2 linked regions of the Lepisosteus oculatus genome follow. The protein of the gene in region 1 purifies or fractionates together with the protein of each later gene. This does not show direct contact. Links are inferred from orthologs where the notes say so. Each region holds a gene or a part of one and is shown in the gene's direction. Other genes may lie near its edges.

Region 1 (15,127 bases):
AGAATTGTATCAAATCATGTGAAGGATGTGGTTTTTCAGAAATGCCAGGGACTGAGTTTATTGGATAGAGCAAGTAAGAGTTTCTTTTCATACAAAATATATTTTTCCTGTTTGCATTGCAACTGTCTTCCAATCTCTGCCTTCTCCCACAAGAAAGTAACAAGGCTCTATAAATCAGTCTGCTGCAACCCTTGCCTGTACTGACCGTGCTCTGCTGAACTTTCTTATGAGTGCTATTAGATACACCTGTAGAGCTGGGCAAACATGCATGATTAACGACAGTGCTATTGGAATGTTAAAATGTTTATTGTTTCCAGACAAAATCTTTGTGCTGCTGAAATATAACACAGAATTGTAGAAGTGACTTTTTACCTCCTGAGTATACCTCTTTCATTTGTTTCCATTTCCTGTCTTGCTTTTTAGAAGCTTTCTTCACCCTCTTCTATGAGCAATTCTAAACCTTTTATTTTCTGACAGCTATGACAAACAGAATAAACTGCTGGATTCAGCAGACTGGGAGCTGTTGTCTGGCATGGCTACAATGGGGCATTAACACAAAGTTGGCTTTGCTTTGGGCACTGCATCAACAAGGCTACAACCAGTCCATCACCGGTGTTTGACACTTGACCTTGTTAATAGTTGCTGGGAGTCCTGAGACTTCATAACATTGATCAGCTACAATGAAAATCGTCTTACTCCCTTTCCTTGGCCACTTTATTCAGCAGTGAGTCAGCATTCAAGATCTTATAAGAACCATTAATGACCTGAAGGAGCATGAAGGAGAAGGCTCATGATGATCAGTTTTATCATAGGAAAATATGCATATTTTAAAATGTTACGCTAAAGTTCCAGCAACAGCCAAAATATGTAATGGAATATTACAGAAACTCTTCATTAAACTACATTCTGGGAGTAATGATGAGCATTATTGCTTTCAATGACACAACAATTATATTGACATCAATGTGCATTACAATCACAAAATTAATTTTTAAATTTCAGATTCATTTTAATTTTCAAAACTCAGAACAAGTCAAAACAAGTAAAGAAATAAGAACAGAGTTTCAGCAACTTAGTAAGTATGTAGTGAAAACTACATCAAAACACAATGATGAACACACAGGAAATAAATCAGAAAATAATTAGAAATGGCAAAACTAGCAACAACTTTCCCTGGAGTGTGGTCCACTTTCGTTCTAGTGCAATTATTTTAATCTTATATCAACAGAAACATTTTCATTTATGGACTTCTATTCATCAAATGTTTTTTTTCTCAGATAGGCTATGATCCCATTAGGCTCCTAGGTGCAGTTCAACACAGTAACCACCACCCAAGCAGGCTTAGAAACCCTGTTTCTAAGATGAAGGCTCTTTCTCAAGGGGCATGTCTGCAGATCCCCAGGCTTTAAGCACAGGTGAATAGTGATAGATGAGCAATGCATCTGTCTGCCAAGCAGTAAGGGTGAGCTCATGTCTTTTTCTCTACAGTGAAACTTTCACTTGGAGCTGGTCTAAGTATGAGAGAACGCCTGAATGATTATCTCAATGATGACAGAAATATGAACCAGAATCTCGCCCATCACATCTTTGCCATGCACAAGTGGCATTAAAGAGCTTCAAATTTGCAGTGCCGTGTGCTTATACCACCCGAAGCCAATGGAAAATTGTACATACCGCATGCTTTTTGCATGTGTTTCAGAATCCATTTTAAATCCATTTCAACCCAGATGAAAGTATGGATTCAGATTAATTAGACTGTGTGAGGAATGGATTTACAAAGTTAAAAGCAAGATTAAGCATATCTATCATAACAAGAGTTTAAAATTCTAGTGTTGTACAGTATGTACAGTACATGACTCTAGAGTCTGGACGTCTCCAACTGGAGTTCATCTGATTTAAACTACGAATTCTGCTGCAGTCCCAAAATTTAACCAGAAAATAAGAAAGCTGAAAAATCAACACCATGGAGGAAATTTCTAACCTACCATAAACAGCCTTTCAAGAGCAACTTACAGACAATTAAAACATTACCTCATCCACTCCCCTCTGTGAAAACATCCCCATTTCAAAGCCCCAAGTGTTTTTGGTACTTTTACGTGTGTATACTGCAGGGTTTATGTATTATTTTTCTCAATCTTTCATGCAAAAGTACATTACATATTTTGTGATTTTTGGATGAGGCTGGGGTAGGAAACTGCCTGATGCCTGGATGCCTTTGAACAATTTGCAGGCGCAGCGATGCGTGGTTTTGCTTGCTTTACAGCTTGGGAGCTGTGAAATCAGGTACTTATCCAACATTAATCTCATACCAGGGCCCTGCCAGCAAGTTGTCAGGTGCAGATTTTTAGTTTTTAATTTGCATATTAGCATGCATTTTGGCATAGCGATCTTTAACAGTTCTGTTTTGCAGCTGGTGAAACTCAAACAGACCACAATATGAATGAAAAATGGTTCCACTTACTGGTTGGTTGTTTGTGAAGTGAGTGTCATTGTTAATGGACCTTGAACACAGGAATTTGCAAATGATCATAACCAAAATGACAGATTTAGTAATGGGCCAGCCATGAGGTCTGCTGCAGCCCTGCAGTCAGGCATGCATCGGTTTTGAGTAGCCCAATCAGAGAAGATCCAGAGAGTCAGCAGGAGGCAGACTCAGTGGTTACTCATGGCGCTGTGCTGGGGCACAGGAATGACTGATACCTTTGAAAATCCTTTTAACAACAACAAAATAATCATAATTATTTAATGCTATAGATAATCTTTCACATGGATGCAAAACTCGTGCTTTGTTTTCTGTTTTTCTCTAATTTCAAATTATTGGTAGTTTTACAGGATAAAAAGAATTATTTCTTTCTAAGCACATAGAATCTACAGTATGTGTCTTTGTGCTGTAAAGGTTTTGCTTTTGTTGGACCAGCTGAAGTCACATCTGGAACAGGGACCAACTCATCAGTGTTGGTGTTTCAGTGGGAACACAGAGCTGAACCCCCTCAAGGACTTGTAGAAATGAAAAGCTTTTAATATCTTAACGCTAAATAAAGATACTGATTAATGTCCTTAAAGATAAATCTTTTTTGCTTTTGAAGAACTTTAAAAAACTGGTGCGCAGCTTTAATAAATTGTTTTTCTCTCTCTAACAGAGAAAAGAAAGGATGATAGAATGAACCTCCAATAATATCCACAGTGTGGATTTGGTAGAAGAGAAGCAGTATTCTTGTTTACCAGCTTAGTGAATATATGGTGAATTTATAGTGAATGAAAAGAAAGAACTGCAGTCAAACAGCATGATTTTACACCATACAGTGAACAAAGTGAACACCACAGAGACAAAGACAGTTCTGAAGAAATTTATGAAAAATATCTTCCAACTGTTTTTCTTACCTTGGAGTTTTAACATTTAACATAACGTCTATTTTACTTATTGTATTAAACCAAAGGTATTCAGACGTCTTATGAATCAAAAGCAATCCTTAAAAGTTGCTGTGCTCAGCCATGTGAAACGGAAACTGTGTTTGTTTTAAAAGCAGAGAACATGAAGACAGACGGTAACTAAAAACGAAATGAAGTAAGCTTGCAGAATTTCTGAGGAGAAAAGTCTAATGATTATGTAGGGAATACAGTGATTTAGGAGTTTAAGAGAAAGAGAAAATAAACACTGTTAAATCAAAGTGCTGTAGTGGTCTGGCTTCCTCAGGGGTGGGGCTGTGTGTGTGTGTGGGGGGGGGGGTCTTTGAGGGGTATGGAAACATGACATCATGTTTTTAACACCCTCCTATCTGTGAAGACAGTTAACTACTTTGCTTTTTCAGGTGCCTAATTTGCAGCAAGTGACAATGCATCAGAAATGTTTCCAGGACCACTTAGGATGGAGCCAGGAACAGGGTCCCATTAGGGCCCAGCACCAAGTCTGGGTTGAGAGGCCACAGGGGTACAGTTAAAAAAAAACAGAAAATCCATAAGGAAAGGAGACGCGTTGGTGCATAGAGTTGCAGGACACTAAAACAAAATAAAGTAATTCAATGATTTAATAAGTGCAATAAATATTTTTGTTAAGATATAATGGTCCTGATTTTATTTGGCATTCATTTATCCTAACAAGAGGTAGTAAAGTTTCAGGAGAGAATTTACTCAATAACAACAGGGTGTCAGTACCCTGTATGTACTTACAGTACATATCATCCCAAAAGAGAGGCAGATAGGTTGAGTTAGGCTTATGAAGTGTGGACAACAGGGCAGACATAGCTTAGTGATGAGGTCTGGGTTTTTCTCCATCTCTCCATCATTCCAAGATCAAGGGCTTTCCTGGCCTACTATATGCTTTCTTTGGATCTCTTATGTTCTGAGATTCCTGTGTGTTCAAGAAAGAAAGGGGAATCCACAGCACTCCACCGGACCTGCTGAAGGAATTTCAAAAGTCCAGTGGTGTGGAGTGTAAATTTTAAATTCTATGTACAGTTTTAAAAGAAATCTGTGAGGCACAAATTATAGAAATTCAAATTATTATTTCATCTTGAACTAATTTTTCTTACTTTCTGACGAAGTAGAAAGAAGTAGAAATATTGGTTGGTACTAGCTCTCAGGTAGCAAAGAGAAGCCATTTGAATCTACAATCACAAAGTCACTCAAACCCACATTATAGAAGTACAGAGTTTGCTCATATTCATGCTGTAAGACTGTACCCTGTTGGTGCTGTCTAAACTTCTCACATTTTCCACACTGAACTGCTCAGTCAGACAGTAAGGGAAGGTTTCTGCACTACGTCACCTTTTCAGTAGCATGGTACTTTGTTACCTGCCCTGTCACTCACCATTTGCAAACAAAACTGAATCTCCAATTACTCCCCATACCAAGCAGGCCTGTCAATAATGAAGTGGTCAGGAGAGTTTATGTTTAAATCCCAGGTGAAGCATGCAGACGTATTTCCACTGTGTAATCAGCACACAGACGAGAGCTATTGAGGGCCAAAGCTCTGGCCACGCTGAATGCAGAGTCCAGTTCCACGGCCCCATACAATCCAGCTGCCACCGTCCAGGAGGGAATGGACATAGAGACTCAACATACAAACAACTGGCTACAGGAAGGAATAAGCATTCTGATTTAGCCTGCTTTGTCAATGATTTTGTGTTTTCTGTAAATGCTCATTATGATGCTAAAAGCACAGTAGGGTATAATAATAATAATAATAATAATTGCCTACACTTATATAGCACTTTTCTGGACACTCCACTCAAAGCACTTTACAGGTAATGGGGATCCCCTCCACCACCACCAATGTGCATCTTCCACCTGGATGATGCGACCGCAGCCATAGTTCACCAGAACGCTCCCCACACACCAGCTATTAGTGGGGAGGAGAGCAGAGTAATGAAGCCAGTTCAGAGATGGGGATTATTAGGAGGCCATTATTGGTAAGGACCAATGGGAAATTTGGCCAGGACGCCAGGGTTACACCCCTACTCTTTACGAGACACACCCTTGGGATTTTTAATGACCACATCTCATTTACATCTCATCCAAAGGACAGCACCTGTTTACAGTATAGTGTCCCCGTCACTATACTGGGGTATTAGGACCCACATGGACTGTAGAGTGAGCACCCCCTGCTGGCCCCACTAACACCTCTTCCAGCAGCAACCTTAGTTTTTCCCAGGAGGTCTCCCATCCAGGTACTGACCAGGCTCACACCTGCTTAGCTTCAGTGGGTTGCCTGTTGTAAGTTGCAGGGTGATATGGCTGCTGGTATAGTAAAGCAAAAGGTAAATCAGGGTGAAAGCAGAAAAAGTACAGAATATTATATTAGTATCTCTTTCCCACACCCTTCAGGACAAAGGGTCCCTCGGTGCGTTACATCCAGGAGGGGACCCTTCTTGCAGTGGGGAAGTGCATCTGGGTGACACTTGGCAGCCATTCTGGGCCACCTGCCCCAGTGCACAGCACAGCAAGTGGACATGTTTGACACTTCACTTATTGAATTAAGATTTGCAAGCCCAGAGTGACATTTCACCACCACTGGAGTTATCAGCCCTTTGCACCCCTTCGCCATGTGTCCTGGGATTTTTAAAGCATTGTGCAATACTTGGATCACAGCAGAGCAGATCTCTGGTATAGTCAGGGAAACTATCGTAGCACAATACACTTTCATTATATGTAATGAACAATTGTCCTTGTTCACTAGGATATTGTCAAAACATATTCTTGAAACATTTTAATGAAGGAAACTTTGTCCACATTTTGAATTTGGGGTTAGGTTATATCTCTGTTCAAGAATGGGCTAAATCAGTCAATGGCTATCCCTTGTAGTTAACCCTGAAATTGGTGGAAAATCCCAGTACAGGATGAGCCCACTCCCTGGCCGGTTCAGCAGCTGTTGTCTTGCAAGATATCTGGTCATGTGCTGCACAGCACTGTCATGGTGAGCTCTGTTGGGCACCCTCGCATTGGCACCTCATTCTGATGCCTTGGGTGGCAAATGACCAGCACGTATTTCTTCTACCTTTTTTGTTCACCTGGGAAAAGACAGACAGCAGCGAAGAAGATGGGACATACTGTATCAGCTAAGCCAGCAGTGTCTTTCTGCTGCCCTGTAGAATCAGCATCGCCCTTCTGGGCTGTGAGTCTGACTCCGTTTCCTGTGGAAACCAGAACATTAAAATGTGAAATTATATTTAAGATATTGATAAGCAGTTATATATATTGATAATCCTGCTAAGTACAAGAGGAACTGCAGGCTCAGACATTTGGTGCACGTGTTTGGCTGAGGAGTCAATGCCCCCTGCAAGCTAAATATATTGATAACCTCACTGGGTTTAAAGGATAATATCTGTGTTTCTTTCATGTTTGCAATGCAAAGATGTCTACTTAAAAATGAACAAATGGATGATTAATGATTAAGTCTAATGCTTAGTGTCTACAGTAATGCAGTTTCACTGCTGAGTTTTATATTGTATATTGACTTTGAAAATCCAGAATTTATTTATTTTGAAACATTGCATTTTACGTTCTGATATTAATTTTGTTGGCATAACGATGCTGTTTTGACGAGGTTACTGCAGTCCTCCGTGTGCTCTCAATCTGCAGGCGGACCCGTTGCTATAGACACAGATTCCTGTCCGGGCGGATATCGCGGTAGGACGGGTTCCTTTGACATTGCAGGAGGAGGGGCGGTGACAGGAGGATTACAAAACGTGCAGACTGGATCCAAAATAATATTTCGACTTTCAAGTATTTTTTTTTCATCTGGCAAGATTATTTTTCAATAGAGGAAAATGTATCGGCGAGTTATGCAATCTGCTGTAAGGAGCGGCGTCTCTTTTACTTCACACTGCGGGACGCTTGTCAAGGTAAATACCTTAGCTGTAGGAAAGACTTTGCAGCCATGAGTTTGCCTTGTGACAGGATATATTTAATTGAATATGTTGTCTTTGAAGGTTGCGCTTATAACGTGCATTTTACCTGCTGGCTCCACAATGAAACTTTCTCTAAAATGACGGAAATTTCTCAATTTGTGGATACTAAAGTAGCCCATTTGTGACGTAGTGTTCAGTCCCCTAAATTTAATACGAGTTTGTTAGTGAAGTTTTGTGGCAAGATTTGTATCTCGCGAATCCTTGCGTGCAAGGTTATTGTCTACCGACAGCATTCCAATCATCACAAAATAAGGAGTAGAAGTTTAATATCGTGTGCAATTTCCGATATCATTCAAGACGCGCTCTTAAAACACAAGGTTCTGGGAGTCTGAAATAAGGTGCTTAATTATGTTGTTAAGGCTGATTCCCTGGTCTCCTTTCTATAGGTTGTTTTCGTAGTGCTGTATTCTGAAGCTTAATGTTTAGAAATGTAATGATCTAAGCTCAGTTGCATGCTGTATCCATTACTGTGGTAGAAGGGATTCACGTGTTGTCATTCTGTAACAGCAAGTAGACGATTATGACTGATTTGCACCGCATTGTCTGAAGAAATCCTCCTCTGCTTTCTGTGTTGGTTCTTATACGGAATGTCTGGTTGCCCTGACCAAGCTCATGGCAGAATGAACACTACGATGGCTAAGGGAAATCACTATGGCACATCACCATCCTCTTTCAGAAAGATCTTCAGCATTGCCAGTAGCTAACAGCTCAGAAGACATCACAGCTTGTTAGCTTGGTGTTGCTTATTAGTTTCACATTAATTTTGAGGAGAGGAGGAGTATGGGTGTTGATCTCCTTATTCTGGTACAGTCATGACTGATAGTAGATTTTACAGTAGCTGTATATATTCTTGCTTGTGGATTAATTGTTACTAATGTAATCGACTTTGATGCAGCTTCTTACTAATATGACACTTTCCTATGTGGTATTGCAGTACTCATATTTAATTCAAGTTATCATGACAATGCCTGACATACTTTACCGACAAACTACAACACCCAACATGCATTGTGCTCTGTGTTTGAGGGAGCAGTCCGAACCACGTTTAAGTGACTACTCATTTGGTGATGAGTACTCTAAAATCAGATAGGTGTTTTCTTGAACATGTTTTGCACAAAATGGGCTACTGCTGTATTATACTTGCTGCACTTTTGGGAAACATTTATTATTGTTTTCGTTATGTTTTAGACTCGGCAGATGGGAGCTTGTTTATCCAGAACCCTTGAAGTTCACAGAAGAATGGAGCTGTGTTCCTGGCCACTGTCTCAGAGCAGGACATTTCACAGCACTGCACAGGTACGATATTGTAAGATGTTGTAAGATACAGTCTGCAGGAAAAGATGTTAGAAGGTCATGATTTCCAGAGAGTGCAGCAAGTGGTATTTGTGGGTCATAAGGTCCTATAGCATTGCACTGCTGCTGTGCTGTGGTTGTTTCACTCACTGTAATGCACTTTTTTTCCCCGCACAGCTCTTCTCAGTAAAACAGACACCACAGGCGTCAGAAGAAGAAGTGGGAGCTTTCACCAAACTTATTGAAGCCATGGGATTCACTGGTCCTCTCAAATATAATAAATGGGTAAATGATCTTGCATCCCCTCTGCTAGACTGTCTGACTCAGTAGGTGTGTGCCTTTTCATTCCTCTGGGTCATGCTTACCTGCCCTTCTGGTCTTGTCTTCAGTCACATGCCAGCAGCCATACTTGAGCTGAGCCTGTCGCATCAGTAGGCTAAGAGGGATCTTCACTCAAATGCCAACTGATATATAGTTGTTCCCTTTTTCATTGCTTCCTACTTTCCAGACTTCATGATTATGCATTGTAGCCTTACTCTGGCAGTGGAAATCAGTGTTTACAGTTCTGGGGATGCATGCTGCATACTTCTACGTCTATGAAAATCTTTTGTGAGTGAGCCAGGTTGTGCTCCAGTGGTTCAACTCTTTTTTTAAAAGGGCTCATATATAAAAAGACAAGTCAATAGAGAGATATGATGGGAAAATGTGTGGTAGCAAGAGATTGATTTACAGTGGAAGGGGACACATGATGTGTTGGAATTTCACATTAATGCTTGAAGTCCTGCGAGGGTTTGGTAGTTGCCAGTTTATAGTGGAAACCTTGTACCTTTTCGGCTTGCACCAGTTGCCTCCCTCTGACCGACGCTCCATACGCAGTGTCCCCAGCTCGAGCCACAACAGCAGGCGCACAGCTGTGCAGAAGGAGATGGTAGTAGAGTTACAGATTCAGAGTTGCACAAGCTCATGAAATAATGTTATACAGAGCAGCTGTGGCTGAGCTCAGAGAGGAGCAGCCAAGTCAGTTATTTGCTCATTGGCTTAGAGTGTAATTTATCCATGATGCACATTCCTCCCTCATTATGGCATTGTTGGTGCAAGCCAAACCCTCTGCTTTTTATAACGTGTGAATTTGAATTATGTGTTCATAATGCTCAAAGTGTAGCAAAGGTGACATAAAAAAGACCAAATTCTCTTGAAGGTTAAGCTTAAGCTGCTTTTCATCCAGTAACCGCAGTGTGTCAGCATATTTATTACTCAAGATTCAGAGGCCCATTCCAGGCCTCATCTGTTCCAGCTATTGGTGATTAATACTCACAGTAATAAATTGAAGTTTTGTTTGTTTTTTCATTGTTTTTCAACAGAAAATTAAGATTGCTGCATTGCGCATGTACACCTGCTGTGTGGAAAGAATTAACTATGATGACTTTTTTGAAAGTAAGTGTTCGCCAACGTTATGATCAGTGGGTGATCATCATGATTTTAAAATGTAGTCATTATTAAATAGGACAGAATCAACTTTTACATGATAAAAGGCATGATTAATTGTGAAAAAATAGTATTCTCCTAAAAGTGAATTAAAATGAGAGATGGGATCCTGCTGAGATTGTTGGAAAGCCTGTACTGAGGTTTTCACAGGACACATAAAGTAGCTTGAACTCTGTAGAAAGTACTTCTGCTTGCATCTTCTGGTCCAGGCATGTCAGAAATGTTTACACATTTTGACCAGGGCAAGTCCATGCCTGTACACAGGTGGACTGAACGCATTTAACTCCTGCAGCTTTTTGATGTATAAATAAATTAGTGACTTTCCATCTCATCAAGCTTAGAGTATTAGTGCTGAGTGGTACGTTGTGTGTTAGAGGATGTGGCCTGTGTTGAGTCCGAGGTGAAGAGGAAGTTGACTGACCCCTGGTTTTCTGTGTGCAGAGTGTTCCCTCCCAGACACACTCAACTCCTGGTTTCTTGTGGCCCAGCTCCATGTCTGGTGAGTGCAGAGCTCGGACATATTTTATAGTGGCATTTATACATAATTTGCTTCATACATGTTTCCTTCGAAACAAGATTCATTGGTCTTATTAATGTGATTCTTGTTAATCTTCATTAGCATTTGAAATATGCCTGCGATGGACGGTTTTCCTGTCTAGGGTGTATCCCGCCTTGTGCCTGCTGCTTGTCCCAATACGTCTGGCTCTCGCACAGCCCTGTATTATATAGACCTTTTAGAAAATGGATGGGTAGTATTTAAAATAATTAGCTATAGTATTCTTTAAGTAGGATCCATAGCAGAATAAGAACCAGTGAAACAATAATATGCAGTTAATATCGTTTCAAACTAACAAAGTAATAGGTTTATTCCATGCTGAAATTGAACATTTTTTTCAAGCATGGAATAAACTTATTACTTCTTCCTTTGCAGCCTACGCATGCTGACGCAGCTACCCACCTGAACTACTACAGCTAACACAGTAATAGTTTTTACTTTCTTATCTTTGCAATTATAGACCTTTCTTTTTATTTTTACTGAGCTTGGTTTTTAAGTTATTTTTTGAGGTGAGTCTGTTTTTTTTCAGCTTTTTTTAACTACATTGATTCAAATGCTGAAACAGTTTCCTACTGTCTTAGTGACCTGTCTGGATATTTTTCACTGTTTTAAAACTGAGGCATTAGTTTGATCTATTAGATAGTTTGGCATCACTGATGAAATAAATATTAAGTGAGGTTGGAAAAATCTAAAACCGCAGTGCTGTTGGAGTGACATTCTTGTATTTTCATGACATTTCCTGTTGCTTTTAATTCTTGAGAATGTATGTCACTCCCCAACAAACTCAGTCCAAACACCTGGGGACAGGTTTGTTACTGGATTTCACAGCTTTCAGAGCAGAAAGTTTGCTTTTCATTTGCATGACAGGAAAAGTTCCACATTTACGTAAAGCAAGGTTTGAGTGATTTTAGCTGACAGCTGTAGTAATCTTTAATCCCAGCTGTGATATTTACATTCTCCCACCTCCCAGTGAGTGATCCAGAGACAGGACAAACCTCAATGCACTCCTGTTCTGCTCTGGGCTTGGACACTTCAGGCTCCAGGACAGCACCAGTCATGCCCAGCCCTGTGAGCAGGCCTTTAAATTATAGCTATTTTCTTGCCAAACACCTTACAGGTTCCCTTTTAGAACTCTCTATCATCAACAGATGCAGGTCCTTAATGCCTTTTGCTCTGGCAGAAAACCCCATTTGTACACTTACATCTCAATAACTGCATTGAGTGGAATGAATAGCACAGTTCCATTTTACTTTTAACTTAATATTTGCTTAATTTCAAAGAAAATAAATTTCAAAGAATGTATTGTTTGCAGTGATTTTATTGCAAAAACAAAACACAGGATAATAATTTATTAAATAATACAAATATGTCAAACACAGTGCTGTTCTTCAGGCTTGCTGAGGTGCGCTGTGGAAGAGAGTTGTTTGAGAAAGAGGAACAAGAAAGAAGCAAGAGCACAAGGTTCCCTGACTAACTGTTGTCTTCTCCTGCTTGCCGTGTTTCTTCACTGTGTCAAACCACGGTCAGATGAAGTGCTTTGTCTTTAGCTGATTAATTGGATGACAGTGGTGGGGAGCCTTGCACCCTAGAATACATAATATACAACATATATCATCTCCTTGAACAGAACCTGTCCCTATTCCTTAATAGTAATATTAATCTCACTGGCAAACTGTAAAATAGAGCTTAATTGTTAACCTTACAATCTGGTTATTGGAACACACTATGATGTATTGACTTCATCTTACGAATTACGCTCACAAAATACATTATTTTCGTAGTAGCCCTTAGAAAAATGATGGCTGAATCTTGCTCACACCACACGTGTACCTGGTCCTGCTGTGTGCTATGCTTCCTGACTCTTATATATCCTGCAGCAACAGCCTGAGGTGAATCCCAGTGGAAAGGCAGCTCCCTTGCGGTGTGGAGTGCTGTGATGCTCAGGCCACTGTGCTCTGTCCTCCTGCAGGATGTGCCTCGTGCGAATGAGACAGGAGGGCCGTGCGGGGAAGTACATGTGCCGCTACATCGTGCACTCCATGTGGGAGGATGTGGAGCAGCGCGGGAAGATAATGGGGGTGAGTTGCAGCACCTGGTCGGCTTGTACAGAGACTCTGACAGAAGACCAGCAAGAGCTCAGATAACTAGGTATCCACATTGTGCACTTATGTTTGTGAGCAGCAGGTTTCGATCCTGCAGTTAAAAAATACACGTTTCTGGGTACATTTTTATCTGGGTATGTTTATTACTTGAAAATACATCGGGCATAAAAGAATAGTTTTTTTTTTTCAATACGTGGCTGCTTTATGAACAGAGAGCTTGGTGAGGACCTTAGTGGGCTGACTGAGTTAGTGAGGATGGTGGCATTGACACAGCTGTAAAAACAGGCCATGCATCTTCCAGCCTCCTCCATCTCCAATGTCCCTCCATATCCACCAAGGTCCCGCATGATTTTCACAAGGACCGGTCACCTTTCCTGACCCAAGCCTCGGGATAAAATTAGGAATGATGGGCCTAGCTTCCCAAGAAACGCCTCAGAATTCTTTAGTGCGTGTGGGGTCTCAGGCGTGCCATTTCTCTTTTGTTGTGCTCTTTCTAAGCCGAAGCCAGCCTGCTCAGCATGTCTTTTGTGCTCATGCTAGTTATCTATAGGGCAAGAAGGGTCCTAAAGCATGTTTATCAAGCTCTCCTGCCAAGGTGACAAGGCACTACAAAGAACTGTAAAGTTCTCAAAGTTATGTTTCCATGTGTTCCATGTTTTGTGCTAATACTTAATAATGCTGCAAAGTTGTCAAAAGATTCTGAAAGAATTGAACTGTAATATGTCTTGAAAGAGTTGCTGGTTTCGGCAGATTGACTTGACAAACTTGCTACCCCCAGAGAGAGCGAGAGAGCGAGAGAGCGAGAGAGCGAGAGAGCGAGAGAGCGAGAGAGCGAGAGAGCGAGAAAATCATGCTTATTTTCCAACTCCCTCTAAATCAAAACCTAACCAGAGTATGTCACATGGTGGGATATTATAGGCTGTATATCAAAATTGTAAAAGAATATTTGTAACTTGACTGACAGTGAGTGATAAAATCATGAACAGCTTTTCTGCATTTCTTGCATTTGTCTTTATTAGTATCTTATAACTTTTTTTTACCTGAAAGGATTTTTGCCTGAAATCATTACTGTACAGCATTGAAGTACTCATACATACGTATGGAAGAGATGGGCAGCTACACAGTAGTTATTTTCTGATTTTCATTTTAATTGGATTCATGACAATTTCAAAGAGTGGAGAGAGAAGGAGCTGAGCAGTGAAATCACCAGTGTTTCTGTGCTGTTGTCTGTCTCTTTTCCATGCTGTAATATTTGCCAAAGCCAAATCAATGATCTCCTGGGGACGATAAATTGGAATTAAAAGAAATTATTCAAAAAGCCATGATTTTTTGGTTCATATGTTTACTCATTTATTTATTGAAGCCTGGCATTAAGAGTAATGCTCTGTGGGCAAAGGAGAGAGGATGGCACAGTCCAGATGTAGCTCTGAATGTAGCCCTGAATATGTTAATCTCTCTCACCCTGGGAGCAGCAGATGTGCATTGTCATGTGGTTCAGAGCTTTCCCGCTAAATGTGTTCTGTCACAGCTAGGGTCTGCTGACGGCTTGGCCTCATGTTGGTGTCAGGACTTTCAAAAAATTGCTTCAATGGAAGCAGGACAATGTGCACCTTAAACTGACTTTTGAATGTTTGCTATCCACTCTGCCTCCTGCCTGCACTGTATCCGAAGACATTATCTCAAAAAGACAGTGAGAAGCTCCTTCTGGAATAGGGGGAAGTGTTGCTCAGTGCAGAGTCCTCTTGCCGTCAGGAGTGGAGCCTGCAGCCCACTGTGGCTGATGTCCTCCACCAGCTGGAGTGAAGCCTGCGCACAACAGCCAGGGGCTTGGCAGCGCCTGCTGGTTGCTGAGCTCCACAGCTTGCCTCATTTTCCAGCTCTCCACCCATTTTGCCTGAGGGCACAATGAGGGCAAGTCTGTAATTTCCCTGACTTAGGAGAGGTTACTGTTATAAAGAGACCCTTGTTAGCGTAACAGGACATGGCAGGCAGAGGTTTTCATAGCACCACCATTGTTTATATTACCCGTAATTTAGAGCCTCCAGAGCTACTAAGACTTTGGCACTTAAAAAACTTAGCCATCAGTTCTCTAGCATGTCCTTTTATTATTGTTATTATTCTGGTTGTTGTTGTTGATAAATACTTCTATTTCTCCCGGGTTGAAAGAAGTAATATGTTTTGTGTCATGGCAAATATTTAGTATATGGCCTCTTTTTTAATATTTTTATTAAATTTGGACATCACAAATGCTTGGTAACTAAAAAAATATTTTGGAATATGTATAG
Region 2 (15,221 bases), on another chromosome or scaffold:
GAAAGGAGGATCTGATCTGGTGTCCAGTGTCTCCTGCATTCCGCTCTCATGAGGGGCTCCTTTCATATTTAACACCCTGTTGACTCCAGGATGGGGAGGGGGGGGGGTGTGGATGTAAAAACTGACCCCTCTGACTCACACCAGCTGGACAGATCACATCCTGTCCAGACTAGAGAACAGGCTGTACAACTTGGCCCTTTCTGTAAGCAACTAAACAAACTAAACATCAAAATGTTTCAGAGGTGGTAATAACCTTGCAGGCAGACAACCCAGACAACTATTCTTTTGTTAGTAGCTTATCACAGCAAAAGGAAAGAAGAACAGTATTTTATTCTAAAGTGTTCTAGGTCAACATGCACAGCTTGTATTGATAATATAATTAACACCTGCCAGAGGCTGAAGGCTGGTTCTGGCTAGGGGTTAAAAGTCATTAGCTGAGAAACATGAGGATGGTGGAATTTTGGAATCACCTCTGAGAAGAATCTGTCTGTAACCATTCACATGATCCCATCAAGTAAACTGGACAGACAGTTACAGAGATGCTGCCTCCGATGTTTACTTTTTTAGCCCCACTATATATTACAGATCAGTGCTATCACAGTCCATACGGGACAGCCTATACACTGCAGTACGCTAGGAATGGACTGCAACAATCCTGTCTGCACCACAGCCCAAGTGTACTGTCTCAACAGAGGGTACACCTGGTCCCAAGAATAGCAAAGCAGCAAATTTCCCCAATACATGCAAAATGCAATCAAACAGATAAGATAAACCCTCACTCCATAGCCAGGAACTTCCATATTCATCCACTGAGCCTCTGCTGTCCCAGCAGTGCTGTTTTGAACATCTAGGGTTAACTGGAAATAACAGTATTCTGCGTGTTGAGAAGAGGCAGTGCAGATGGGGTACCCCTGTACTGGTGAACACACACAGGATGCTTTCCATCATTGCTGTTTGTGTGTTTATTAGAGGTTGTGGTTGCTGAGGAGTTGCAGAAGTGTGGGAGCACTTTGCACAGTTTACCCACCCTGAGAGAAATTCTGTTCCCTGGGTTTCTGGGCTGCTGCCATCGGAGCCTGAATTAGAGGAATATTCTAACCATTCGATTCCTAACACTGTGCTTCAACAGTTTCCAGCTAGTTGTCTCCCCATAAGTCACCCCAGCCCCACTGCACCTTGGTAAAGACAGGTAGAGAAAGCCAGCAGGACAGGTCTATTTGGTTGGGCCAAATTTGTTGCATTATTATTATAACAGGCAAAAATCTGAGAACAAAATATTTTAGAAAATATCTCCAGTGTCATGACAGTTCTTCCTAAAATCTCAACAAAGTCTCCTTTTCACCGAGATAAGGATGAGCTGCCAGATTTAACTCTGTCTACATCGGCTCCTCTTTAATTTCTCTTTTTGGTTTCTGCACACATGCATGCTCTTCCCTACAGTTTGACTGGGAGTGGAAGGAGACCGTGTGGTCTGCAGTAGGCTCTGGGCTTACCTACAGAGCTCCAGGCCATGGGGCAGACAGGGATGACAGCCTGAACACCCAGCTGTAGACAAGACATTTAGGGGGAGCACCTCAGCGGGGCTGTTTCAGCCTGGGAGGGCAAGTGAACACAGCAATAAAACCAAAATAACCTGTACAGGGAAAGACACCCCTGCCTCAGCAGAAACAGCAGTGCTGCTTCTAGGGTTCTGGGACGGGGCCAGGACAAAGGGTTACTGGGTACACAAGGTGAGGGGGCGGAGTGTGGGGAGCTGTCAAAATCAAGCAGTTACAGAATCCTACTAAGAGCAGTTTATGTAATGCACATTTTCACTTGTATGAATTTAACAGCCAAAGCAGCAGGATTAGGATTGATAATCCATTGATTCAGGAAATGACGTTACCTTGTGTTTCCAGTCCTGTTATGCGATGTGTTTCTCCTTACCAGTGCCAACACCCACAGGCAGCGGCCACTGGGTCTGCCCCTATGATCCTCTCTCCAAGTCTCTTTGTGCTCAAACTCCACTGATTTATTTGTTTTTTCTAGGTTACTTTCTTGGCTTCACGTGAGAAGATTCAAGCAGGCAGCACTACAAGGCTTTCACTAACTACTTTGTGACAAGGATACAATCTAAAAACACAGGATTTATAAAAAATAAAAATTCCCTTTTACTGAATAAGAAACCACTCTTAGCCTATAGGATATCGTGATATGCGAAAAGATGCATTCCTAATGCAAGAAATTGTATAGGGCTAATAAAGAATGCAAGAATATGATAATATGTGATGTGAAATTTGACTTGCATTAAAACACACACTAGCCCTTCACTGGTGCACATTATAAGAGGAGTGACAGGGGTGCATTGGCATTAGTGCAGTACAGAGCCAATAAACCACAAAAATAGATTTTACAGGAGGAATATGAGTAACAGCAGAAGCTGCTCTGTTCACAGGATGCTTGGGCTATGGGGTGAGGGTGGTGGTACTTAGAGTTAAGCCAAGTCAAACTCCCTGACCCTCCGCTCCCCATAGGGTTGATCTCAGTGAGCCTGGAGAGAGACAGCAGTGGGCAACTGGTACTGGTGGCCTCTCCCCATAAGGACAACCAGAGCCCAGCTCCGCCATCTCCCAAGGCCCACAGGAACAAGAAAACCAAGGCCAGCAGTCCTGATCACCAGGAAATCAGAGAGAGCCCCCTGCAGGACAGATCCCACCATGACAGGTGAGCTACAGAAGAGGAAAATGACAGAGGTGCACAGCTAAGGTACAGTACACCAGCAGAGCTAACAGAACAGGATCTTATTCTGACTATAACACAAACTGAACACGACCAGATCAGAAGAGCTCAATCAAGTGCTCTCACTCATTGTTTTCTTTTGTGATAATCCAACACTAACAAAGTCACCGTGAAATACAACCCTGCAGTTTTTTCAGCTGGGGGAATCTCTGGTCCTTCATGTCTCACAAACACATCAGCACTCCAGTCCCATTAGGCCCAGTTCATAGCAGTAATAACTGCTTAAAAGAATGTAAACAGCTGAGTCAAATTTCCATAAAATTCTAGAGCACAAAAGATGTCCAGGAACCACTTAATTTAGTTCACAAGTAAATTATATCCAGGAACCACTGGGTGGGGTAAAGCTGGTGACTGTGCCCTTTTCTCCTCCCAGGACTCTGGGCTGCACTGGGAGGGGGCTCGGCTCTGACGTGCCTTTCCACATGGAGGACCCCAATGGGAATGAGAGCAAGCTCTCAGAGCAGAACAGCCACAACCCCTGGGGCCTGCGCTGCCACCGTGCGCAGCTCTCCCGCATGTCCTCTCAGGGCGCCTCCAACGTGCTGCACTGTATCTTTTACGACTCTTGTGTTCTTGTTAAATCGTCTCCCTTTCACTTTCCCTATGCTTCTGTTTTGCAAGAACTGATTATCACTCAAAGGGAAACAGCAGCCCCTTGTGGTCATCAATCCCTCAAGCCCCACTGCTTGGACTAGCTGTCAGCCAATTTCAGCTCAGGAAGTCTATTCCTGGAGGTCTGTAAGCATCCAGGCCTCCTGCAGAATCATTCCGACATGTGTCCTGAGCAACATGGAGTATCGTGAGCAAGGACAAACTGCAAGAAACACAACACAGGGCACTGAACTGCCGCTCACTCTGTCCACTGCTCATGGAGTGGAGTGTCCAGAAAAGCGCATCACAAGTGTAAGGAATTATTATTATTATTATTATTATTATTATTATTATGTCAAACCAGAACAAAGACCAAACACTGCTGCCTTTCAGGCTGACAGACTCAGAAACCAGCAGCAGTTTTAGACAGAAGAAACAAGAGCACAATAGGAAAGTCAGGTCTTACCATTCATGGACAGGAGTATCCTGCCTCTTCACATCACTTGCCAGGAGCAGTCATGCAAGTCCGAGTCTGAGGCAGCAGAATCAGGAATTCTAGATGGAATCCAGGGCCCATAAAGCTTGGAGACAAATACTTCCTTAGATTCATCTTTCTCGACCCCTGGTCGGCACCAGTCCCCGGAGCAATGCTGACCAGTTGAGAAACACTGCTTGATATTTCTTTAAAAGCAAAATGAAAAGAAATCCCCTTTAACCATAAGCACAGCTAGTGACCTTTTTTATTAAATTCCTGAAAGATGCACCAGCTGGCTCTTTAAATTTCTACTGTTTGGAGACTGCAATGCAGCACATTTGGGTACCCCACACGTTTCCTCAGTAACCAGTACACACAGCAAATGCCAATCTGTCCAGAATTCCCTTGTGCAGAGAACTAGTTGATTTGCACACAAGACAGATCAACGGAATAACTGTAACAGTAGCAGCCATTCAGCAAAAATGATTAACAACAAAAGAAACAAACTACAACAGAATCCAGGTTCAGTGACACACAGAGGGTCTGTGGCAGATAATAAACACAAAGGGAAACTGGTTGCGAAAAACAGCACAACAGCACAAGGTCAGCAGTGAGTCATTAAATTCAGAGATCCACCCTGATCGCAATCTCCCAGGCCTGCAGGCGTTCTCTCCTTGACGCTGCGCTCAGGGTTCGTGCTGCTGGAGAACGTGGTGTGGCCATTCATGCGTCCCTGCGTGCTGGACCTGAAGATGGGCACACGGCAGCACGGCGACGATGCACCCGAGGAGAAGAAGAGGAGACACATGAAGAAGTGTGAGCAGAGCACCTCCTCCTCACTCGGCCTGCGGCTGGGGGGCATGCAAGTAAGGCACAGCAGCCTGCCCTGCCCTTCTGTCTGTCTGTCTGTCTGTCTGTCTGTCTGGTCCCGCCTCTCCAGCCCTTTCGGTTCCTCCCTCCTCTCTCCTCTCCCCTCTCCCCTCTCCCCTGCCACGTTCCTCCTCTCTGCTCCAATCCACGACTCTGCTGACCCTCAGCAGCTCTTCCCCACAGGTGTTCCAGGTGACCTCTGACCACTTCCTGTGCCGGAACAAGTACTACGGCCGGACGCTGTCGGGGGCGGGTCTGCGGCAGGCGCTGTGCCAGTTCCTGCACAATGGGCGATGGGTGCGTCGTGAGCTGATCGGCCCGATTCTGCAGCGACTCGGCCAGCTGCGCGCTGTCCTCCAGCGCCAGGGCTCCTACCGCTTCTACTCCAGCTCCCTGCTGCTCATCTACGAGGGTGTGGAGAGCCCCTCCGCCTCCCCCAGTGTGGACGTCCGTATGATCGATTTCGCCCACACCACCTTCCGCGGCGCCCACCACCCCCACACCCCTGCCTACGACGGCCCAGACCAGGGCTACATCTTCGGCCTGGACAACCTCATTGGTATCCTGAAGGAGATCCGCGATGGAGAATGACGACTCCCACTGGCGGGCAGCTTTCTGAAGACTGACCTCGCCAGGGCTGGATGATGTATAAAGACTGTAGACAAAGACTCTGACTGGCTCATACACTCCATTTGGAGGAACTTGTTGGTCTGTTGTTCATTTACTGCAAGTTAAAAAGATCAGGGAGAGAAGGGGGCCACAGGGAGATGCCAAAAGCTCAAAAATAGAGTAAACTGACATCAGTTCTGGAGCTGAAGCTTCCAAGATACCTGATCGCTGTATCATGCACGACTTCAGTGATTTGTACACAGGTGCCTTAAAAACCAGCAACTCACACTGCAGAGAGATGGGTCCCCGTTACTTACTCATACTAATGGCTGTGAGTTATAAGATATTCACACACACATTGTGAATTTTGAGGAACAAATTAACCAGCCAGCATGGCTTTGAAGGGTGGAAGGAAACTGGAGCACACTGAGAAAGGCCACGTGGACACAGGGAAACATGCAAACTCCACACAATCTTTCCAAGTCCTGAATCAAACTCGGGACCCAACAGCCATGAGGCAGCATCTCTAACCATTACTGAGCCACCTGCATCATTGAAGTATAAAACAAAACTTAGCTTCTTAGTTAGGCTTTTCCTTTTCAATTTGTATTGCTGTACATGAAGACTCTGTAACGCGTCTGTAACCAAAGTGTAATATGTTTCCAGTGTTAGAATTGTCAGCACAGTGAGTATTAAAGTGGGGGGAGGGGGTGTTCTGCTCTCATGTGTAGGTGCGTGTTTTGTGGCACCGGAGAGTCAGGGTCTTTCCTCCTGCCAGAGGTCCAGGGTTTGAAAAACAGGACGGACCAGATCAAGTGGTGCTGGAAACCAGTGCAGGTACCAAAACACCATTCGAGGACTTACTGGGAACCAGTGTGCCCTCTGTCTGATTGCAGACCCAAGACCCTGTCTCCTTACTCCTCATTAGCTCTGGCAGTACTGGGCACAAAGCCCCACTCAGAACCTGAGGCAGACAGATCAAAATACGATACAGGTCAGAGGTGAGTGGACAGAGAGTGACCCTCAAAGACAAAGACAGTGACATCTCATCTTTGGCATTCCTTTGAATATTTTTGATAGCTAACATCTTTTTGATGATGGCGGTTTATCTCACCCAACTACTGAACACACACTGTTTAGCAGCTGTCACTGTTCACATACGGAACACTCGTTCACCGGTAAATAAGGTTTCCTACTAAAACCGCCAATGATTCGAGCCCTTGAAGACCAGGGGTTTTCAAACTACTTTCCGCAACTCTGCGGAAAGCTAGATGTCTGTGTAAAACAATGTTTTTATTTTTTTATTTAAAGAATAACGTGAAATCAGCATAAAATAATCTTAAAGCCCCCCGCGGACCACAGCTCTCTTGACACGTAAAGAGCCAGTGTTTCATAAGGCTCTACGGCCGAAACGTTTTCTTTCTTCTTTTTTTCAGCATGGAATAAACCTATTACTTGTTCCAGTGTTTCATAAGCTCGCTGTTACCAAACAGCTCCCTCCCCCGGCCGCGCGTGTCCGTGACAGCGAACATGTCGGCTACTCGGTACCGCCGCTTCCTCCGGCTGTGTGAAGAGTGGCCGAGAGACGAGACCAAGAAGGGCCGGGACCTGGGCACCTTTCTGCGGCAGAAGGTGGCCCTGGCCTTCCGGGAGGGGGAAAGCACTCAGGTGAGCGGGCAGGGGAAGTGACCGAGGCTCCAGCGGCGTCATGCGAACAGTGAAGCGGGGGGAGAGGAGGGTGTCAATCGTGCCGTTAAAGCGTTTCAGCAAGAGGGGTGTTTCTGCTTGCTTGATATTGTAGGATTATTACGTGGTGAAGAGTGTCCGAACCTTTGTACACAGACCTAAACAGCAAGACCACATATGACGGCGGTCTCCATTTCACTACGGTTTTAGTGTTTACCGCGACTTCTTTTAACCCTAACTTCAAACGCATGCTATTTGTTTATACAGGCTAAACTGTTAAAGTGTGAGATTTCTTAGTCCGTGAAGTATACTATACTGAAAACTGTAAATGATTCGCCGGGTTTTCGTTAAAGCATTTGGAGGCTTTGGTGTGAAGTGCACTTGAAACGGAATTCAAATGAGATTCAATGGTCGACCTTTACAAACACAAACCTACAAATCAGTTGTGTATCTCATTTCTCTCCGCAGCAGATTCGTCATGTCGTAACTAGTTTCTCGTTCATATCTGCAGATTCGTCAGCGTTCGTAGACTTGTTCAATTAAATTTACATCAAGTAAATGTATAGGATGGGTATTACTCATGGTCTGTGACATTACTGACGTTCAAAAAGAAGAAACAATAATATCCGATAGTTTAAATTCAGGTTTTTGTTATAGATTTTAAATTTCACAGTAATTGAATTAACTATGCTGTATTTCTTACTTTCAGATCGCAGATGCAGAGAAGTGTGATCAGATGTACGAGAGTTTAGCTCGTATCAATACTAATTTTTATAAACAGAAGGTAAGTAGCTTATAGTTTCCTGAACGTTGTTTAGAGAATTTAAACATTTTTTAAATATAAATAAAATGACAAATATTGAACCCATTCTCCACTTCAGTACTCGATAAATTATAGAGAAGTAAAACCTTACCTTTAAAAAAAAACTATATGATATCTTACATGTCTTTTTTATATCTCCGGTTTCCGGTTTACCTGGTAACCGGCGCTGCCTGGTCGCGCAGTTCCCTCGGGCGCAGGACACGAGCTTCACGGGCGTGACGGTGGAGGAGTGCAGGATGGTTCTGGCAACAGGTACGCGCGCCCTTGAGCCCCTCTGGTCTAGCCCTGCGGCACTGATAAACCGAGTCTCAGCGCTTGTACAAGACAGGCCCTACGTCGAACACTAAACACTTTTTTAGTGTTTTGGGAGAATTGTGGTTGGTTACAATTGTTTCTTTACAGATGTACTACTACTACTGTTGTTTGTAGTACAGATGTACTACACGCATCAGTGTTTTATTTACATTTTAGAACAAAAACCAAGGTACAGAATTCAAAAACGGGAGTAATTTCTTCACACAGTCATCTTTGCCAGCAGCCATATCACTCTGCAACTCACAACTGGCAGCCCACTGAAGCTAAGCAGGTGTGAGCCTGGTCAGTACCTGGATGGGAGACCTCCTGGGAAAAACTAAGGTTGCTGCTGGAAGAGGTGTTAGTGGGGCCAGCAGGGGGCGCTCACCCTGTGGTCCATGTAGGTCCTAATGCCCCAGTATAGTAACGGGGACACTATACTGTAAACAGGCGCCGTCCTTCGGATGAGATGTAAAACCAAGGTCCTGACTCTGTGGTCATTAAAAATCCCAGGGTGTTTCTCTAAAAGAGTAGGGGTTTAACTTAACTCTGGTGTCCTGGACAAATTTCCCATTGGTCCTTATCATGGCCTCCTAACAATCCCCATCTATGAATTGCCTCCATTACTCTGCTCTCCTCCCCACTGATAGCTGGTGTGTGGTGAGCGTTCTGGCGCACTATGGGTGCCGTCGCATCATCCGGGTGGGGCTGCACACTGGTGGTGGTGGAGGGCAGTCCCCATTACCTGTAAAGTGCTCTGAGTGGAGTGTCCAGAAAAGCGCTATATAAGTGTAAGCAATTATTATTATTATTATCTTGTAAAAGGTGACTTACTCAGACCCCTTTTAAAAAAACATGGGAAAGATTAGTCACAGAGCCTCCAGCCAGAGAGCGCTGTTCTCGCATCCTCAGTTCGTCTGAGGAATCCTGATTTGGGGCTGACAGGTCTGTCCTCTCTCTGCAGACAGTTTGCAGCAAATGGAAGATGCGAAGAAAGGGATGTGGAAGAAATTAATGGCGCGCTTTTCCTCCAAGTCGCCAGAAGAGGGTGCAAAGGAGTAACCCCGACCTCACACAGCTCCTGTACATACTGTAGCGTGCGGATGAGTGTATACTGTAATGCCATTTTTTAAAAATTAAACATCACATTTAAATAAAGTATCACTAGTTTCTTTGCCCTACACTTAAGAATCAGTGTTTGATGTGTGTACTTGCAGCATAGTAGCAGAATGCCTTTGACCTTGGATGGAGTTTGGATTAAGTTTGTCCTGTGAATTAGACCAGGTATTTTAAACTAAATTGGACGCTCTGTGGTCCTGCTGGAGCCTGACACCCTTCACTTATCAATATCTGGACCCCTGCTGGAGCTCCAGCACTGCTCTGTGCTGTCTGATAAGGAGCAGTAAATGGCAACAGCCCCTCCCTCTCTGAGGCAGGCTGATAAGAGCCCCGACTGCACCCTGCCCTTCCTCCAAGAGCTAACAGGCACAGCCAGGCACCCCACTTACCCTCTACACTCGCCCACAGTGTCGACACGCCTGTCACTCGTGAGATCACGCAGGAGGCTGGGTCAGCGTGGTTCAGTCAGGTCCTGACCTCTCTGGCTTTTCGAGCGTGAAGTCACCCCCAGATTAAAGTCTGCAAACGGAGCTTCACGTCTTCCACTGGGTCAACTGTGAGGAACTGAGCTTGGTGGAATAAAGCTCACAGGACTTTCCAGGACCAGGGCTGCAGGTTTGATTGACTCTCAATGACCTCACGGACCCTGCTGTGGGTCAGCTGGGCCAAAGACGCTGGAGCGAGGTGGAAGAGACAAGTTCAACTGCCCCCACTCAAGAGCACTGGGTCTCGGCTCCGGGCCAGCCTCCGTCCAGACTTTCTTTCCAGCCACAATCTCCACGCCCTGCTGTGTCACATGCCACACGCATCAGGTAAACCCAGCTGGAATGAAAGCCTGGACTGGAGCTTGTGGAAACGCTCCCAGGAGGCAACTCCCTCTGCCCCTGCGGCCGTTCGGCTGAAGACCACCACCGCTGAGCGAGCACCGCGGGATATGGGCGAGAGGTTTAAACCATGTGAGAGCACACAGTTCCTGACAAAAGCTCAGACAGTTAAAACAACACATCAAGGACAGAAATACTGACAAGACATACATTAATCTCAAACTATTTTATTAACTCCAAAAGTACATACAAAATGAGAGAGGGAGAAGACGACCCTCTGTTGCCGCTGTGCAGCCCTGGCACAGGTGACGCAGGCACTTCCCAGAAGCCTCCTCCATTGTGCAGGGAGGGGCTCGGACACCCCTTTTTCAGTCCTGCTTGTCGGGGTTGTCCCTCCAGATGCAGTAAGTGAGGCCGGTGGCCAGGCAGAGCCACATGAGGTAGGGCACCATGAGCAACGCTGCCGTCTTGTTGACGGGGTACCAGGACAGCGCGGTGGCGCCTGCCGTGCCCGTCAGCAGCACGACCTCGATCAGGGCCTGCAGGGGAGACACATGGCACAGCGGCCGCTGACACAGCGCCCCTCTGCTCGGCCACTCGGAGCAGGGGCGCAGCGGAGAAGAGGCAGGGCTCGGAAACATCGGCATTATCGCGGAACTAACCCTGCCTGAGACAGGGGGATTGGCAAACTGCTCATAATAGTTGTTTTTAAAACACACAAATACACTAACATACTAACAGTATGCAAAAAAAAAAAGCTGTGGGAAAAGGAGGTAAAATAAATACTACATAGATTTCAAATTCAGGAATATCAATGGTGCCCTTTAGGGGTTGACGATTAACCTACAAAGGGTGTTGTTTGGGTTTCATATGCTTTAGTGAATTTTATACAGAATATTTACGAAATGTTCAATTTCATGAAATAACGAGCTTGTATCTTTATGAGAAAAAAGGCACAGGAATAATTGTCCATGACTTTGTTGATGCTATGCTAAAGAATAAATCAATAAATCTTGAAAGTATATCCAGTATACAGTGTATATATATATTTTTAACTTATAGTGTGTTCTGGGGCTGAAAAAAACGTCATTCCTGTTTTAATGGACATTCTTCAATAACGGACTCCCCTTTCCCCACTGGTTAATTTATCCGAGGGCTGACACTACAGGAAACAGACAGACAAAAAGAGGAAGTGATAGAGGAGGAGATCAGGGGAAGACTGAGACAGAGAGGAACACGATCGGTGCTTGCCTTCTTCATAGAATCACACACGCCGATTCAGCACGACCTGCAGTTTTCAGTTTTTTCTATGTAATGCAGAAAACACACTCAAGACGAGCGAGGCACAAGAGTCACGGTATGGAGCTGCACTGCTATGGTCACTGTTAGTGGAAGCCATACCGTACCAGCTTCAGTTTGTGTGCCCCGAAGAAGATGGGCGTCCAGGCCCAGTTCAATGCGAGCTGTGCCCCATACAGGCCGAGCGGAACCAGAGCATCTTCAGTGAAGCCGCCCAGGTCTCGCCACACCAGGTAAGAGCCGTACCTGGGAGAGGGAGGGGAGTGGAGAGGAATACGGGGGGAAGACAGAAACAGATGTTGTTACATGAAGAGGTCGATCTTGGTACCATCTTTTGAAAAAAAGAGTTGCTCAGAGTGGAAAGCCAGCTGTGGGCCGATTCTGAACTCCTGCACCAGGCACCTCTCTGCTGAGGCACCCCCGCAGTACTCCCCCCCGCGCCCTTATGCAGTCCACACCCCCGCAGTACTCACCCTCAACCCTGTCCACACTGCAGTACTCACTCCACGCCCCTGTGCAGGAGTCCACACTGCAGTACTCTCCCCTCGCCCCTGTCCACACTGCAGTACTCACCTTCAACCCTGTCCACACTGCAGTCCTCTCCCCTCGCCCCTGTCCACACTGCAGTCCTCTCCCCTCGCCCCTGTCCACACTGCAGTCCTCTCCCCTCGCCCCTGTCCACACTGCAGTACTCACCCCACACCCCTGTCCACACTGCAGTCCTCTCCCCACACCCCTGTCCACACTGCAGTCCTCTCCCCTCGCCCCTGTCCACACTGCAGTACTCACCCCACACCCCTGTCCACACTGCAGTCCTCTCCCCACACCCCTGTCCACACTGCAGTACTCTCCCCACGCCCCTGTCCACACTGCAGTACTCACCCCTCGCCCCTGTCCACACTGCAGTACTCACCCCTCGCCCCTGTCCACACTGCAGTCCTCTCCCCTCGCCCCTGTCCACACTGCAGTACTCTCCCCTCGCCCCTGTCCACACTGCAGTCCTCTCCCCTCGCCCCTGTCCACACTGCAGTACTCACCCCACACCCCTGTCCACACTGCAGTCCTCTCCCCTCGCCCCTGTCCACACTGCAGTCCTCTCCCCTCGCCCCTGTCCACACTGCAGTCCTCTCCCCTCGCCCCTGTCCACACTGCAGTCCTCTCCCCTCGCCCCTGTCCACACTGCAGTCCTCTCCCCTCGCCCCTGTCCACACTGCAGTACTCTCCCCTCGCCCCTGTCCACACTGCAGTCCTCTCCCCTCGCCCCTGTCCACACTGCAGTCCTCTCCCCTCGCCCCTGTCCACACTGCAGTACTCACCCCACACCCCTGTCCACACTGCAGTCCTCTCCCCTCGCCCCTGTCCACACTGCAGTCCTCTCCCCTCGCCCCTGTCCACACTGCAGTCCTCTCCCCTCGCCCCTGTCCACACTGCAGTCCTCTCCCCTCGCCCCTGTCCACACTGCAGTCCTCACCCCACACCCCTGTCCACACTGCAGTACTCTCCCCACGCCCCTGTCCACACTGCAGTACTCTCCCCACGCCCCTGTCCACACTGCAGTACTCACCCCTCGCCCCTGTCCACACTGCAGTCCTCTCCCCTCGCCCCTGTCCACACTGCAGTCCTCTCCCCTCGCCCCTGTCCACACTGCAGTCCTCTCCCCTCGCCCCTGTCCACACTGCAGTCCTCTCCCCTCGCCCCTGTCCACACTGCAGTACTCTCCCCACACCCCTGTCCACACTGCAGTACTCTCCCCACGCCCCTGTCCACACTGCAGTACTCACCCCTCGCCCCTGTCCACACTGCAGTCCTCTCCCCTCGCCCCTGTCCACACTGCAGTCCTCTCCCCTCGCCCCTGTCCACACTGCAGTCCTCTCCCCTCGCCCCTGTCCACACTGCAGTCCTCTCCCCTCGCCCCTGTCCACACTGCAGTACTCTCCCCTCGCCCCTGTCCACACTGCAGTACTCTCCCCTCGCCCCTGTCCACACTGCAGTACTCACCCCACACCCCTGTCCACACTGCAGTACTCTCCCCTCGCCCCTGTCCACACTGCAGTACTCTTACCACGCCCCTGTCCACACTGCAGTACTCTTACCACGCCCCTGTCCACACTGCAGTACTCACCCCACACCCCTGTCCACACTGCAGTACTCACCCCACACCCCTGTCCACACTGCAGTACTCTCCCCACACCCCTGTCCACACTGCAGTACTCACCCCATGCCCGTGTACAGCGCCGTCCACACCACAGGGAATGCCTTGTTTGGGGGGCGCCAGGACGGCTTTTTCAGAGTCTCGTACCAGGTGGGCACCGCTTTCCGGGTGAAAAGTGCGCCAACCAGACCCCCCAAATGGGGCAGGCCAGTGAACCCCAAAGCCTGTAACCACATGGCTGGGGGACAGTGACAGGGACAGAGAGGAGACCGGGTGTTATCACTCAGATCCATAACTGTGTGCTAACAAACTGGTACAGAAACTAAGCACATTCAGTCAAAAGATTTATGGGAACAGTGTCAAATTAGCGGAAACTGAACTTTCGAACTGTTCTCACTACTGAAAACAAAACAACTCGTTTGTACTAGGAAAAATATGGAAAAATCCAGTTTTCACAGAATAATGACCCTCAAAGGCTCACAGTTACGGAGTATCTGCAAATTCACCTGCTGTTGATTTCAAGGCGCCGGAAGCTAACGCCTGCGCTCATTCCCTTGGTTTGTTAAAAAAAAGACAAAGGACAACTTCTGATGGTTTTAAGGTCATTATGCCTCATGGTGGCTTTGCTTAAGGAAAATTAAGATATTTGAACTCTGGCAGTCTGAACGCCCTCGCGAGACACTCACGTACACGCCCCTCGGGTGCCAGAGACACGACCCCGGTGTTTGGCACTGACACCATACTACCAAAAACCGCACAAATAGTTACCGCACAGCCACCCTGTCAGAGCAGTTTTCAGATCTTATGTACGAAACCCAGCGAGACGGCTGCCGAGATCAGTCTTACCTCCCGAGCAATGCAGCGCCGTACAGCTAACCACTGCTGCCTGTCCGTCTGTCCCAGCCTGCTCCGGGCTTGTGTAACAATATCCCGGACTGGGAGGGACCACAGCGCCGTCATTCTGGGGGCGGGGAGTGTTGCAGGAGTTACGAAAGGAGACACAAGGAGCAAACGTTTCTCTTTTTCCCGAAGACGACGCGGTTCGAAGTCCACACCGAAGGCGCGAGACCACGATTAAAGCTCGTTAATTGGTTACAGGAAGCAAGGCGCGTCGTGTCAGCACTAGCGTTCAAATATGTTTAAAAATCAGTCAAGCTAAAGACTGTGTTTATTCTTGCATCTTTAGTTTTAATGTAATTAAATGTAATGTAATGTAATTGCATGTAATATAGTATGACTCAACGCAGATACGAGTGTTTCTTAAAACGTATCAATTTTATAAACTGTTTTCCAACGCCCGCTTTATCACTGCAGTGAAAACTGGCTTCTGAGCACATGCCCCACAGGAGCTCTGCAAACAGCACATTTAGCCACCAGAGGGCGCGCAATGCATTACAGGGGAGACGACTGTCTACAATATCGTCTCTCTGCGTCTCTAATACTCTTCAGACCAGCGATTATTATTCTGAAGAGGATTGTGGTTCTCGAGATCATCTAGTTTACTATGATTCAGTCCTTTATTAAACAACATTGCCACCTTGTGGTCAGGGATGGTCATTGCCCATCTTAAAACTTGGCAGTTCAAAAACCTGATACTCGAACGATTTCTCCTTCCTAAACGGCATTGTAGTGCCGTGAATAAAAGACCTACAGACAGCACAAACGATGAAACCCACCCCATTCGTTAGTGCTGCATTTGTG

What was found.
Region 2: the proteins of uqcc1 (region 1) and uqcc2 purify together in Homo sapiens (co-immunoprecipitation; 3 studies listed by BioGRID and IntAct, counting the BioPlex papers as one, with this or other methods). This does not show direct contact. The link is inferred for Lepisosteus oculatus from reciprocal best matches to the Homo sapiens genes UQCC1 and UQCC2.

The regions. Positions count from the first base shown.
Region 1 is NC_090711.1:173,073-188,199, reverse strand, and holds the start of uqcc1 (ubiquinol-cytochrome c reductase complex assembly factor 1), read left to right. Parts: upstream 1-7,120; 5' UTR 7,121-7,265; coding exon 7,266-7,340; intron 7,341-8,594; coding exon 8,595-8,702; intron 8,703-8,876; coding exon 8,877-8,984; intron 8,985-10,060; coding exon 10,061-10,133; intron 10,134-10,625; coding exon 10,626-10,683; intron 10,684-12,709; coding exon 12,710-12,818; intron 12,819-15,127. UniProt on the Homo sapiens protein: Required for the assembly of the ubiquinol-cytochrome c reductase complex (mitochondrial respiratory chain complex III or cytochrome b-c1 complex). Involved in cytochrome b translation and/or stability.
Region 2 is NC_090700.1:40,733,288-40,748,508, forward strand, and holds uqcc2 (ubiquinol-cytochrome-c reductase complex assembly factor 2), read left to right. Parts: upstream 1-6,793; 5' UTR 6,794-6,853; coding exon 6,854-6,991; intron 6,992-7,718; coding exon 7,719-7,793; intron 7,794-8,014; coding exon 8,015-8,084; intron 8,085-9,090; coding exon 9,091-9,188; 3' UTR 9,189-9,284; downstream 9,285-15,221. Other genes in the region: inositol hexakisphosphate kinase 3, read left to right, coding at 2,514-2,703, 3,152-3,327, 4,535-4,710, 4,898-5,305; tspo (translocator protein), read right to left, coding at 10,438-10,608, 11,476-11,614, 13,584-13,756.